Linked DNA regions of Elephas maximus indicus. The protein of the gene in region 2 purifies or fractionates together with the protein of the main gene of each other region. This does not show direct contact. Links are inferred from orthologs where the notes say so. Each region holds a gene or a part of one and is shown on either strand. Other genes may lie near its edges.

Region 1 (7,160 bases), on a different chromosome or scaffold from region 2:
CAAAAGAGTAAAAATATTACCCACAGATTGGGAAAAAGTTTTTAGCTATAACATTTCTGATCAGCAGCTGATCTCTAAAATCTACATGTTACTACAAAAACTCAACTGCAAAAAGACAAATAACTCAATGAAAAAATGTGCAAAGGATATGAACAGGCACTTCACTAAAGAAGACATTCAGGTAGCCATCACACAAACAGATAAATGCACACTCATGTTCACTGCTGCACTGTTTACAATAGCAAAAAGATGGATGCAGCCAAGGTGTCCATCAATGGATAGATAAATTATGGTATATTCACACAATGGAATACTATGCATCGATAAAGAACAACAATGAATCTGTGAAACATTTCATAACATGGAGGAATTTGGAAGGCATTATGCTGAGGGATATTAGTCAATTCCAAAAGGACAAATATCGGATAAGACCACCATTACAAGAACTCAAAAAATAGTTTAAGCATAGATGAAAATATTGGTTGATGGTTACAAGAGGAGGGAGGGTAGGAGAGGGGTATTCATTAATTAGATAGTAGATAAGAACTACTTTAGGTGAAGGGAAAGACAACACACAATACAGGTGAGATCAGCACAACTGGACTAAACTAAAAGCAAAGAAATTTCCTGAATAAATTGAACGCTTCGAAGTCCAGCATAGGGTGGGGGTTTGGGGACCATGGCTCCAGGGGACATCTAAGTCAATTGGCACAATAAAATCTATTAAGAAAACATACTGCATTCCACTTTGGAGAGTGGCACCTGGGGTCTTAAATGCTAGCAACCAGCCATCTAACATGCATCAATTGGTCTCAACCCACCTGGAGCAAAGGAGAATGAAGAACACCACGGACACAAGGTAATTACCAGCCCAAGAGACAGAAAGGGCCACATAAACCAGAGACTACATCAGCCTGAGACCAGAACCAGATGGTGCCTGGGTACAATCGATGACTGCCCTGGCAAGGAACACAACAGAAAACCCCTGAGGAAGCAGGAGAGCAGTGGGATGCAGACTTCAAATTCTCGTAAAAAGACCAGACTTAATGGTTTGACTGAGACTAGAAGGACTCCGGAGGTCATGGTCCCCAGGCTTTCTCTAGCCTAAGACAGGAACCATTGCCAAAGCCAACTCTTCAGACAGGGATTGGACTGGACTATGGGATAGAAAATGATACTGGTGAAGAGCGAGCTTCTTGGATCAAGTAGACACATGAGACTATGAGGGCAGCTCCCATCTGGAGGGGAGATGGGAGGACAGAGGGGGTCAGAAGCTGACCAAATGGACACAAAAATAGAGAGTGGAGGGAAGGAGTGTGCCGTCTCATTAGTGGGAGAGCAACTAGGAGTATATAGCAAGGTGTATATAAAATTTTGTATAAGAGGCTGACTTGACTTGTAAACTTTCACTTAAAGCAAAATAAAATTAAAAAAAAAAGCTTGTGAGTGGCCATGTAAGATACAACTATTGGTCTCTACTCATCCAGAGCAAAAGAGAAAGAAGGAAACCAAAGACTCAAAGAAGAAATTAATCTACAGGACTAACAATCTACATGAACCATGGTCTCATCTACCCTGAGACCAGAAGAAATACATGGTGCCCAGTTACCACTACCAGTCATTCTTATCAGGGCCCAAATGGATGGATTCTTAGAGAACAGGAGAAAAATGTGGAACAGAGACCAAATTTTTAAAAAGTCCCAACTTACTGGACTGGTTGAGACTAGAGGATTCCCAAGACTGGCACCCTAAGAAACTCTTTAAGCCTTGAAATGAAACCATCCCCTGAGGGAAAACAGAGTGGCTCATAAAATAAAAGGAAACCCTGGTGGCATAGTGGTGCCTTTAAAAAGTCATCTATGAGACCAAATGGTCAACAATCACTCTAAACAAAGATGAAGAGGTTAGGGGGCAGGGAAACCAGATTACTGGAAACGAAATTAATAAGAATGTTGACACATTGTGAAAAATATAACTAATGAACTAATGTAACTAATATAGAAACCGTTAAATGAGAACCTAATTTGCTATGTAAACTCCCACTGAAAACGCAATAAAATATTATTTTAAAAAAATGAGGAAGAAATAAGACACCTGTGAAAATATTGACGACCTACGAAAATGTTAGAAGTTAAACAGGCACCACAAGAGAAATAGTTTCATTATGTTTTGCCCAATTAATGATTAACTGCTTAAAAAAATACTCTTGTTTTAAAAAATGAAGGTGATATAAAGACACTTTCATACAAAAAAACCTTGAGAGAGGTTACCATTCAAAGAACCCAGTTAAGAGAACTAGTAAAAGATGTATTCCAGAACGAATAAAATTAAAATCAGAAACGAGTGGAATACAAGATGCACTGCTGAGAGAAAAAAGGTAACATGCAGGTATAGCTAAATAAGCACTGATGGCAAAAAGAAAAGTAATAATAATGATAATTTTGCTTAAAAACCAGGTTGTACTAAACAAGCAGACAAAAAAAACATGTGAGAGGAAAGAATGGTGATTAGGAAGTAAAGCATTTTAAGGTGTTTGTATCTCTGAGAGGAGGCTAAAACCAAAAAAACAAACCCATTGCTATTGAGTAGATTCCAACTCATAGCCACCCTATAGTACATAGCAGAACTGCCCCATAGGGTTTCTAAGAAGGGGCTGGTGGATTCCAACTGCCAGCCTTTTGGTTAGCAGCTCAGCTCTAAACCACTGTGCCAGTGCCATTAGGGGTGATTAACTTTGTTAGATCAACTATGCATAGTTACAAATTGAAGGGAAGTCATTAAACATGTTTTTATTTTAATAGCTATTTCTTTATTTTGTTAGGTGACTTCTTTTATGATAAAAAAAATTATGATAAAAAAAATTATGATAGTGACATAAAATCTCTAACTTTTTAATGTGAGATAACTTAAAAATATTTAAGTAATATAAGTAAGTGGTACAAAGCTGTGGCAAATATTTTGATGTTTTTTAACTTAAAAATGTTTAAGTAATATAAGTAAGTGGTACAAAGCTGTGGCAAATATTTTGATGTTAGTTAATAATAACTGTAATTTAAGAAATCTGCATAAAACATTTTTTGAAAGCAGTATCTGCATAGGTAGGACATGCTTGAAATTACTACTTACATAAATATATAAATACATATTTTGGAAAACACCGAAAGAAACTTGCAACTGTCAAAATTCTCTTAACCGTTTGGCTTGCACAGAATTAATTTTTCTGTTGTTGAAGGCAGGTCAATAATTATACCAGATAGCATTATTAAGCACTTTACACAGGTTTTCTTTTTAATCCTGTGAAATAGGTATTGTTATACTTGTTTTACAGTCGAAGACCTTGAGGCTAAAATGATTTAAGAGGCACACTCGCAGAGAATTTAAACATTGGTTTATATGACCACGAGGCTGGATGGTTTGCTAGTCACTTTGCTAATTGATTTTCATTCCTTTTTTTTTTTTTTTTTAATATCTGGCTTTAAAATGTCTTCCATTATTTTAACTTCTAAGCATTAGAGTTAATTATTTGGGTTCCAAATCAAAACCAAACAGTTGCCGTCGAGTCGATTCCAACCCACAGCGACCCTACAGGACAGAGTAGAACTGCCCCATAGGGTTTCCCAGGAGCGGCTGCTGGATTCAAACTGGTGACCGTTTGATCAGCTGCCAAGCTCCTAACCACTGTGCCACCAAGGCTCTCATCTTGGGCACAACTGTCCAGAAACGAACAGGGAATGAACCTCAGGGACTACAACACCCAGAATGTAAAGCGGCGCTGGGCCGCCCAGGAACGCGGCACGTCGCCACTTGGCATGCTGGGAGTGGTAGTTTTCAGCCGGCCTCTCTTCCCCGTCCTTGAGACCTTCCAAATCGGAGCTAGCCGATGGCGCCTGGCAAAATCCACCGGCGCTGCCACTGTCATCTCAGTCCCGAAGTCCGACATGGGGATGCGCCTCGGACGCCCTAGGCCCAGTCTCCGCGTCCCTTCCTGTCAGGACGGCGCTACCCACCTCATCAGCAGCCCCAGGGCGCGCGCTCCTCCGCCAGCTCCGGGACGGACGCGCATCCCGTTACCACAGAAACGGCGCTTCCTGCGTCACGGCGCGTGCGAGAAGTCAAAGGTCAGCCAAGGTAGTTCCGCTTCCGGTTCCGGGGTTCTGCTTGTTGTCAAAAATCTTTGGTGGTGTCGGCCAGCCCTCCAGGCAACTTCGGGGATTCAGGGGTCTCCGGAGGCCCGCGGCTGCAGACATGGCGGCCTCCACCGCGGCCGGAAAGCAGCGGATCCCCAAAGTGGCTAAGGTGAGCCGCTGCTACCCAGAGGCCTTTGGGGGGCGGGCGGGAGGGGGGCTAGGAAAGGGGATTCCCCCCGGCCCAGCCTCCGCGCTGCCCTGGGCGAGGGAGTGTTGTCCTGGGTTAGGCCCATGTGGCATTCAATACTTTTTGTGCCTCAATTCCCTAAATTTTTGTCGGGCACCTCTTATGTAAAAAGAGCTGCGAAGAAAACAGTAATGAGCAGAGTCGGTATAAGAGAGCACCGTCCAATGGAAGTATAATGCGAGCCACTTACATAATTTTCAATACTCTTGTACCCACGTTAAAACATCAAAAATGAAATTAATGTTAATTGTTTAATCCAGTGTACCGAAATATTGTCATTTCGACACGTAATATTAAAAATTTTTGGTGGGGTAGTTTACTTTTTTTTTTTTTCCTTCATACTAAGTCTTCGAAATTTCCAGTCTCAATCTGGACTCCCCACAGGTGGCTTGTGACTAGCATGTTGGACAGCAGAGCTCTAAGACCTCACAAAGTTCACAGTCTAATGACGGGAACTTACTGAATATTGTCTTTGACTTGAAATAATATTAAAAATCAAACTGTTCTTTACCAAGGGCATTGAGATAAGTTGAAGAATCCCATAAGTGGAGGTTATAATAAGGAGCCCTGGTGGCACAGTGGTTAAGCACTTGGCTGCTAACCAGAAAGTCACAGTTCAAGGCTACCAACCACTCCATAGGAGAAAGATGTGGCAGTCTATTTCTGTAAAGATTACAGTCTTGGAAACCCTATGGGGGAGTTCTATTCTGTCCTATAGGGTCACTATGAATCAGAATGTAAGAGAAAAACAGGTTTTTTTTCTCTTCAGGCTCATAGAGAAACGGGAACATGTCATAATCAGGCTGTCTTGTAATAATGCTTATGAAGATCATAAGCTAAAAAGTGTTCATTTGTTTTGTAAACCTTGAGCACCTATATAGAAATGTCATTTGTCTTAAAAGGTGAAAAACAAAGCCCCGGCTGAGGTACAGATAACTGCTGAGCAGCTCCTAAGAGAAGCTAAAGAAAGAGAACTTGAGCTTCTTCCACCTCCACCTCAACAGAAGATCACAGATGAAGAAGAGTTAAACGATTACAAACTAAGGAAAAGGAAGGTCAGTCAATGTGTTACATTTCAGAGAGCCTATTAATATTGTTAGGAATTTATAGATCAGAATTTTAAAAGCTCCTCATTGATTAGAGAGTCTGTAAGATAAGAAGTTAGTGTTTCTAGCCATATGAATAATATAACTTCTGGTTACCAGATAATTGCATTTTGCTAAACTATCTAAATATGCCATGAGTTGTCTGTTTTAAAGCATAAAGGAATTAAATCCACCAGAAAGATAATTTTTGGTGCTACATTGAAGATGGAGCCCTGGTGGCATAGTGGTTAAGAGCTCAGCTGCTGAGCAAAAGGTCAACGCTCCAAATCCACCAGTCACCGCTTGGAAAATGGGGCAGTTCTCCTCTACCTGTAGGGTCGCTATGAATCGGAACCAAATTGACGGCACCTAACAACAACAACATTGAAGATAGGTGGAATTTTAACTGATGGAAACAACTGGCAGCCGTAAAAGGGAGTACTAGCAAGAAGGGCATACTAGTAAGGCTGCATCCTGGTCTTCTGTCTGTGCCACCTTCTGTGTTAATAGTTAAGACCTGGGAAAGGGCTAGGAAGACGCTTTGGGATATGATCTGACTTTCCCACCCTAAAATGTGGGATTGTTTTAAACCACTAAGCCTGTCATGTGTGCTTATTAGATATTTTCAATGAGTTATACATGAAGTTCTTAGACGTTACCAAGAAGACTTAAAGGTAATAGTCAAAAACATTTTCTTATTAGGAATACGTATAGGCTGAAGTATCAGTTAGTTGTCATAGGCAACAGGAGAAAATATCAATAATTACACTAATCTTTATATCTAAGATTTCACTTTCTTTGCATATAAGACTTCAAAGAAACACCTGTGATTCTTATCTTCTTTAGTGGGCTTTTTATTCTTCAAGGATTCCTGGATGTCATTTCTCTTAAATAAGAGTAGAATGAATGGCTTTTTTAATACAAGGATTAATAAACAAAGGATTATATCATTTTTAGCTGTCTTCCCTCTAGCTTGACGCTTTTTGCATTTCTCCAGACTTTTGAAGATAACATAAGGAAAAACAGAACCGTGATTAGTAACTGGATAAAGTATGCACAATGGGAAGAGAGTCTGAAGGAGATCCAGAGGTAAAATTAATGAGAGAGTGATTTTTTTATGTGTCATGGGCTAACAGATACAAAAAATTAGAAAAAATTAAAGCCCAGGTAAAGGTTGTGTCCCTCGTGGTTTTCCCGCGGGTTCTTTTCGTGGGCCTTGGGCAGTATGGACGGGTGGCCTACGGGAGATGGCAGCAGGAGCCTACACAGGTGGACGTCACCACCATCACAGCCTCTGTAACCAGAGAAGCTCAGTGTCAGCTGCTTTCTATACACTGAGAGTTTTTTAAAATTCCACTGAAATCCAGTAGCCAATAGGATAAAAATCTGAGTGCAATCTGTCATCATGACCTGGTCCTCCCTGTCATCTAGCCTCTCCCCGTTCTCTCAGCGTACCCTCTGATCCCACTGTACTTGCCATGCCCTGAACACTTCATGGCTCTTACCTGGGCGCTTGGCTGGCCTCCTGGTAAACAGACATTTTACTCACATTCTCAATTCTGAAGTTACCTACTACTTAGCCTTTCCCACCAGACATTTTCATTTGTTCGCTCTGCTTCCTTGGGCACAATTATCACATTATAATTACATGCCTGTCGGTCTTTTTATGAGACTTTGTAAGATTCCTGAGAACAAGCCTCA
Region 2 (7,707 bases):
AGGTATGACTCCTAAGAAAATGACATACAATACCATACTAAAATAAACATATACAGGCAACTATTACAACAGCTTAAACAAGATTTGAAATTAGGTCACTTTTCAAATAAGAATGATTGGCTGCACTCAATATTAAACCATTAAGTCTTATTCTCCTACACAAACTTGAAGAAACTAAAAAACTTAAAACTGAGCTTTTTTAAGTGTTCCTTGAGTTGATTATGTATGAATGACTAATTAAAATGCAATGGGTACTGTAACTCTAAAATTTTAACTGTAAATTTAAAAAGGGGAGGGAGAGCAGTTTAAGTATGAAATGTGATGTAAAACTGTACAAACTGTAGGAAATGTACATCTGAATGTTATTTGGGAAAGTCAGTGTTTGGAAAGTACAGTTATGGAGAAACATTCGGCATCACTTAGTACTCAAAATCTTCAGGTTATGTTAAGTGACTACGGCTCATTCACAAACAAATCCTCTGCAAATGTGCCAAGAGACAGAAGCTTAAAAAACAGCAATAAGAAAAGAAAGCATTTACATCTTTCAGTATGAAGTTAAAGTATCTCCCATGATGGTATGTTAAATTGATAAACTATCACTTAAAAAAAAAAAAAAAAACATTAGCACCTAATCCTGATGCTTTGCAATTAAGAGCATACCTAGATTATACTTTGTCAAACTTCAGCGAGGTTTGGATTCCTTCTTCTACTGGAATTCTCAGAATGAAGTGTGTCAACCAATCCCATGAGCATCATTATCACCTGTCGCTTGTTAGAAATGCAAATTCTCAGGCCCCGCCTTAGAATGACTTAACTCGGGTGGTGGGGCCCAACAAACTCCTTTAACCAGCTCACCTGCTCATATTTGAAAACTACTGTGAAAAGTCTTGATGTTCTAGGCAAAACGAGGTTGAATGCTACATCAAGCCCTCTAGAGATCTAATTACAATTATAAGCTATGTTTACACTTTCTATACAAGGAATAGCAGCAGGTACTGGGAGAGTGGCATAGGGAGCACAAAACTACCAGAAAGACCCACAATTTAGTCATCCCTCTTCCTCTACCTAGCCCAACATGAAAATGTTACTAATGTCTATCTAGTTGAGAACACATCTATATTTTGTTTCAGATTTTAATTCTGTGGCCAAATACTTTCTAAAGGATATGAACTCAAAGGAATTTTTGTTAGCTTGGTACATGAAGATGCTAAGAAACCCTTACTTCTGACACCTCAAGTCAAGACAAGTGTCCTTCAATTAATTTCAACTCTTAACAATAACCTTTCTAAAACGTTAAAAATTCCTGAGATTTCATTTGCCAACAGTACTTTTATCAGAGTTCCTAAATTAATCAATCACTGGCCTTATCTTATTTCTGACAGTTCAGCAAAGTGATAAACTTTAGTCTAAGCCCATGTATAATGTAAATTCTTAGGCATTTTTACAAAATGCTTTTGATCCCATGTAACCCTATTATAGAATTTTCAGTATTTACATGGTGAGGAATCTGCAAATGCACATCTATCTGGAATAAGACTATTTTTACTTTCCAACAAATAGGTTTCCTGAGAGATGAATTTCTTACCCTTCGATATTGGTTAAAAGTGTACTTAACATTAGTTTTTCTGTGAGTTAAACATTTTGACTAAATCAACTCAATCTTACACAAAGATAAACGATTTTCTGGGTAAGTGAATGGGATACTTAAAAATCTGCCACTTCTATAAACTTAGTAAATTTTTCAAATACTGTTTCAGCACCTAGCAAATCGCAGGCACTACAATACTTGCTTAATAAAAAGTATTAATGGTGCATTTTTGCCACAAAAGTTTAGATGGATAGAAAAATGAATACCAAAATATCCTGGAAGTCGAATTTTAAGTTTGTCATCTTAGGAAGTTACATTAATTACAAATCCAATTCTCGTAATTAAATATTTTTCTCAAGTGCAGTTTGGAATTTACAACTCCCTACCAATAGACTTTGTAATGTGGTTCTTATAAAGATTCAAATATAGTACTGTTTAGTAACCAGCATGCCAGTAACTACGTAAAACGACTGACCTAGTAATCAAATTCCTTACAAGTACTAGTTTCACTACTGATTTAACGACCCTGCCAACGCTCTTATGCCTGTTTCTCTGAGAAAAACAGTAATACCTACCTCAAGCAAAGTTCCACTAACTTATGTATTTCAAGTCAATTGTAACCTGCAGATAAAAAGTAGTAAATCAGCTGTAATTATTACTGTTATTGTTAATTCGATTTTCTTTTGTAAATAGAATCGAAAGTAACTACTTCAAGGTCCATCATGTGTTCACAGGGAGTAGTAAATTAAAAGATAATCAGCAAAAAAATTAAATCTACAGCTATATTCATTATTCTTATCTTATGCCCCGCAACACACTCCAGAATTTGAGACGATCACGGTACAACACCTAATTGGTAACCCTCCCCCACACCACACACACCCAATTTTCTAATTTAAGAGATGGAGATAACAGAAGGCATCCGCACTACATCAAACTTCAACTATACTAATGACCATCTCGATCTTCACTTTCATAGTCTCTCTTGGGAGTCCTCAGAGTCACAGAAAATCAAAAGAAAGCAACCGTTAACATAGAAAGCAAAAAAGAAAAATGACATTTTCTCTGCCGGTCGAGGCCTAGAGGACTGTAGGTGAAATCTACGCAGCGGCTGAGACCTGCAAAACTCCCTCCCGCATAAAACCTAATCCCCCAGGACACATGGAATAAATGGGGGCCTGGTTACCGAAGGAAGGGTTCCCTCGTCTCTTTTCCCACACCCCCTCGCGCTCCTCGAGGAACCCAGTGTCACCACTGCGGCCGCCGCCTCCACTTACCAGGAGGGGGTTGGGAGAAGAGATTCGATTATCAATCTCCTACTCCCAGATTCTACGTGAAGAAGCCGACTGCTGCTCGAGGTCGGCAACGCGGCCGCAACCGCTCTGTCTTCGCCTCTTCACAAAATGGCCCCCGAGTCTCCTCTGCCGCGGAGGCGAAGACCTAGCCCCCGCCTCACTTCTAGGAACCTTCTTATTGGCTGTTCCCTGTCTCGCTCCCTCTCCTAATAAGACATTTCTACTGCTCTTCACAATTCTATCCAATCACAACTTGCAGTGGGTTAGACCGAGCAAGAGAATTTCCACATGCGTGAGCGAAACTACTTTGTAACTGGTTACTTTTCCTGTCATTTATCACTTGAGGCATGCTTATTGGCCACTGTACCGCCGGGTGGAAACTCGCCTTTGTATCGCGCACCGCTTCACATCCGGGTATCCGGCAAGTTTGATTGACGGTCTCAGTATCCTATCGCAGTCTCCTAGAGCGCCCAGTAAAAGGCCCGCCCAGATCTCCGAGTTCCCGGGCGCGGGGGCGGAGTAGGGGTGAGGGGCGTAGTCAGGTAGCTGGCGCGAACGGCAAGCTTTCCTCGGTGGCTCCGCCTTGCACGGCAAATCTACCGTAGCCCCGGGCCTAGGAAAAAGAAAAACACCAAGTGAAGCTTCCCTCGCGTGTGTGGCTAAAGGGCGTTTTCTAGAGTGAAAAGGAGCCGTGATGACTAGGCTGTGGTAAAGTGTGTAGAAAACTAATCAGTCCTGCTCGCCTGCAGGTTTCTCCCAACCGCAATCTCAGTACCAGATTGGAATTTCAGCTGCCTCAAGGACATCTCCACGTCTCAGCCCATCAAGCCCTTGTTCGGACGACGCATACCAGTACCAGTTGCCATCAAGTCCTGACTCATGGCGACGCCATGTGTTACAGTTGCCTTCCATAGGGTTTTCAAGACTGAGCTTTTGGAAACAGATCGCCAGGCCTTTCTTCTGTGGCATCTCTAGGTGGGTTCCAACCGCCAACCTTATGGTTGGAGCACTTAGGCTTTCGCACCAAACACCCTCCCAAGCCAGCTGACTTCTTAATTTCTCTCCAATACATCAAGCAAGTGAAGTGTAAAATGCTGGCCTGGGATACTAGAGCACCCATCTCTGTCCCCAAGCCTTATCTCACTAATAATAGCCTGCGTGTAAACCAAATTAGCCTACTCCTCTGTCTCTTTGGGAAACCCTGGTGGTGTAGTGGTTAAGTGCTACGGCTGCTAACCAAGAAGTTGACAGTTCAAATCCGCCAGGCGCTCCTTGGAAACCCTATAGGGCAGTTCTACTCTGTTCTATAGGGTCGCCATGAGTCCGAATCCGAATCGACTCGATGGCAGTGGGTTTGGTTTTTTTTTTTTTGGGTCTGGCTGTTTGAGTAACTGGTCTCTTAATAACCCTCATCCTATTTTACGCCCACCCCCCCCCCCCCATTGCCTGCCGCCTGACTAAATTATAGCAGCCAGGCACACAATGGAGTAGGACTACTAAAACAGGGAGATTTGTATGTGCTGTTAGGGAAGGATCATATTTCTGTTATTTATTGGAAAAAGCAAGATACAGAAAACTGTCTAGATGAGTGATTCTATTTGTATACATTTTAAAGGGATACATAAAAAAAAATTTTTTTTTTTATATCTGTGTAGATGCTGTTTCATACATTAGTTTTGAATTCTGAATTCAGAGAAATTTACAGGAAAGTTAGCTGTTACGTTTGGGGAAAGAAACTTGTTTACCTTTTTCATTGATCTCCCTTTGTATACAATTTGAATGTTTTACCATATGCACGTATTACTTTAAGCTAGTTAGAAAATCAAAAATAAAAGCCATGAAAGAAAAAATACACTAAAACGTTAATAGTGGTTCTCTCCTGGTGGGATAATTACATGTGATTTTTTTTTTTACTTGTGCTTTTCTATATTTTCCAAATTGTCTAGTTTGAACAAAAAATCAAGGGAAAAATCCTACAAGTGCTTAAAGCCTCAGTTCAATTGTCACATTGAAATTTATCTAAAACTCTGAGGTACTGTAGTTAATTTTACACTTGTCTGTTCTTCTTGTTGGGTGGTAACCTTTTTTAATGGCAGGGTTTAATTCTTACTCCTCTCTGTAGTCCACCTTGCTTACTACTTGTCACAATGCCTTAAACAGAAAGTGTTTAAATATGTATTAATTTAATTACCTTTTATTAAAAAAAAATTATTATTTTTTATTTTTTTTTTATTAAGGAGGGGGAAATTGCTATTTTCCCAGGACAAGCAGGTAGACTGTCCTCTCTCTTACATATCTTATCTAGCACTCACTCAGAGGGGCCCAGAGGCTTTGAGCCCTGTAAACCAAACCAAACCAAACCCAACCCGTTGCCATAGAGTCGATTCCGACCCATAGCAACTGACTCATAGGACAGAGTAGAACTGCCCCCATAGAGTTTCCAAGGAGCATCTGGCGGATTCGAACTACTAACCCTTTGGTTAGCAGGCATAGCATTTAACTGTTACACCACCAGGATATGACACGTAAATCATGTAATTTGACTTAAGTAAACAAACAAACAAAAAAGCACTAACGTGTTTTATTACTCGTTTTTCTCAAAAAAAAAGTTTATGTTAATAAAAACTACCTATTTTTATTTTTTACCAGATATCAGTTTTATTGCATGATCTTTGTCATGACCTACTTATTAACCAGCACTGTATATGGTGCAAAAGAGGTGCTTAGGAGACAGCATGCATGTTTTCAAGGAGTTTACCCCATGCTAGGTAGAGTGGAAATGGCAGATACAAGAAGAATTAATAGCCAGTCCTTCCATCGAGTAACTTAGAATTTACTAGGAATGAGAAAACAAGTGCAAAAATAGCACAGTACAAGGCAGAATGTTAACTGCCAAATATGATGACAAATATTCATGACTTTGGTTTTTGGTGCTCTTAAACCTAGGCAAGTAAGGTAGAGAGCAGGGAATTGCCTTGACCCCTTGTGCTGACTCTAAACACCCTCACAGTTAAAAGCTTCTAAAGTTAAATGCTCCTGTTGGGTAGCTGTGTATACTTTTCTATTCTATACTCCAGAATAGTTCCACACTTCAGCAGTGGAAGGAGAGAAAAGAGGTAAGGCAACAGAGAAGCAGTAAGTCCTTATCTTGGTCTAAAGAGAAGTCAAAACAAAACTGAACTTTTGTTTCTACTTCAAGAAATAATTTTGTTCAAAGAAAGCTTCAAGTGGCTTAGATGTATTACCAGAATAATACATATTCCCTCTCCCCACTACCAGTTCCAAGCCATTAGTCAAGAAGAAGAAAGGAAAAGCATCAACGGCTATGAAATGCCTAATTTACTTTTTACCTGAGTCGTTAGCTGGATATTGTCCTCAATATCCATCATCCTACACACCCTGAGCCTACCTAGTCACCTATCGCATTCCAGGACAATCATCATTGCCTCTGTTCTTCTATATCTTCCATTGTCCAACAATGTCATAAGCATCTTCCACTGAAGAGTGAGGAGGTAGTCTCCGATGAACTCAGAAAAAGAACGTAATTAAAATTTCACAGAGCTGTCTTATTTTACCCGACACTCTTTATATTTCTTTATTGTAGTTTGGAGGCCTTTCTGACTGTTTGAGGGCATTGGTGATTCAGTGGTAGAATTCTCCCCTTTCATGCAGGAAACCTAGGTTCAACTCCCAGCCAATGCATACCATGTGCAACCACCACCTATCTGTCCGTGGAGGCTTGTGTGTTGCTATGATGCTGAACAGGTTTCAGCAGAGCTGACAGACTAGGACAGACTAGGAGGAAAGGCCTGGAGATCTACCCCTGAAAAGTCAGCCAATGGAAACCCTATGGATCACAACAGTTCCATCTGCAGTCAGTCGTGGGGATGGCACAGGACCAGGCAGCATTTTGTTCTGTCATACATGGGGTCACTGTGAATTGCAGACTATCTTGTTGGCAGCTAACAATAATCTGACTGTTTGCAAGCTATCTTCTACAGGCACCCATATTCTACATGAAAACATGTTGAAGGTATTACACACCACTTTCAAGACCCTTACCTTTGGGTCCCACATTTAGTCTGCCTTCCATACTGATTCTGCAAACTGCTGCCATGGAACTGCTGCCATGGTGATCATCTGGATCATTTTTATTATGTGACTCCCACACCAGAATCCTGTAATAGCTCTACATTCCAATCCTAAATTTATATTGTTTCATTCTGAGCTCTTCCCTGACCGGCCCCTCCTTGATACAGATCAGACTATTGTGATCCATAGGATTTCCACTGGCTGATTTTCAGAAGTAGTTTAGCAGGCCTTTCTTCCTAGTCTGACTGAACCTGGAAGCTCTGGTGAAACCTGCTCAGCATCGTAGCACCATGCAAGCCTCCACTGACAGATGGGCGGCGGCTGTGCATGAAGCGCTTCGGCCCAGAGCGGAACACCAGCCTCCCACATGGAAGGCGAGAATTCTGTTGGACCCGTGGTGCCGCCACCCCTCATTACCAATCAATTTTATCCCCTCTATAAGAACCCTGGCCTAGGCAGGCCCTGCTTTCCTCACTCCAATTTCCCAAGCTATTGTTCTCCTTCCCCATAGTTCAACCATCCTTTAAAACCCAAGTCCCAATTAATTATTTTTATAAGATGTATGATGATTAGTTCAATTGGTTATTTAATTAACCAATAGTTTAAATGTTTACATACTCCAGGCACTGACCTAAACACCAGGTATGTCACAAAACAATATAACATTCTTGGTCTTCAAGCTCTACACCTCTTCTCAAACGCTTTTCGTAGTTATTATTTGCCCTAATACAA

Evidence for each region. Proteins that work in one complex are often made in the same cells at the same time.
Region 1: the proteins of HNRNPC (region 2) and CRNKL1 purify together in Homo sapiens (co-immunoprecipitation; 3 studies listed by BioGRID and IntAct, with this or other methods). This does not show direct contact. The link is inferred for Elephas maximus indicus from reciprocal best matches to the Homo sapiens genes HNRNPC and CRNKL1.

Annotation. Positions count from the first base shown.
Region 1 is NC_064843.1:61,128,853-61,136,012, reverse strand, and holds the start of CRNKL1 (crooked neck-like protein 1), read left to right. Parts: upstream 1-4,138; 5' UTR 4,139-4,245; coding exon 4,246-4,296; intron 4,297-5,276; coding exon 5,277-5,429; intron 5,430-6,456; coding exon 6,457-6,548; intron 6,549-7,160. UniProt on the Homo sapiens protein: Involved in pre-mRNA splicing process. As a component of the minor spliceosome, involved in the splicing of U12-type introns in pre-mRNAs.
Region 2 is NC_064828.1:31,625,228-31,632,934, forward strand, and holds the start of HNRNPC (heterogeneous nuclear ribonucleoproteins C1/C2), read right to left. Parts: upstream 3,015-7,707; 5' UTR 2,866-3,014; intron 2,210-2,865; 5' UTR 2,164-2,209; intron 1-2,163. UniProt on the Homo sapiens protein: Binds pre-mRNA and nucleates the assembly of 40S hnRNP particles. Interacts with poly-U tracts in the 3'-UTR or 5'-UTR of mRNA and modulates the stability and the level of translation of bound mRNA molecules. Single HNRNPC tetramers bind 230-240 nucleotides.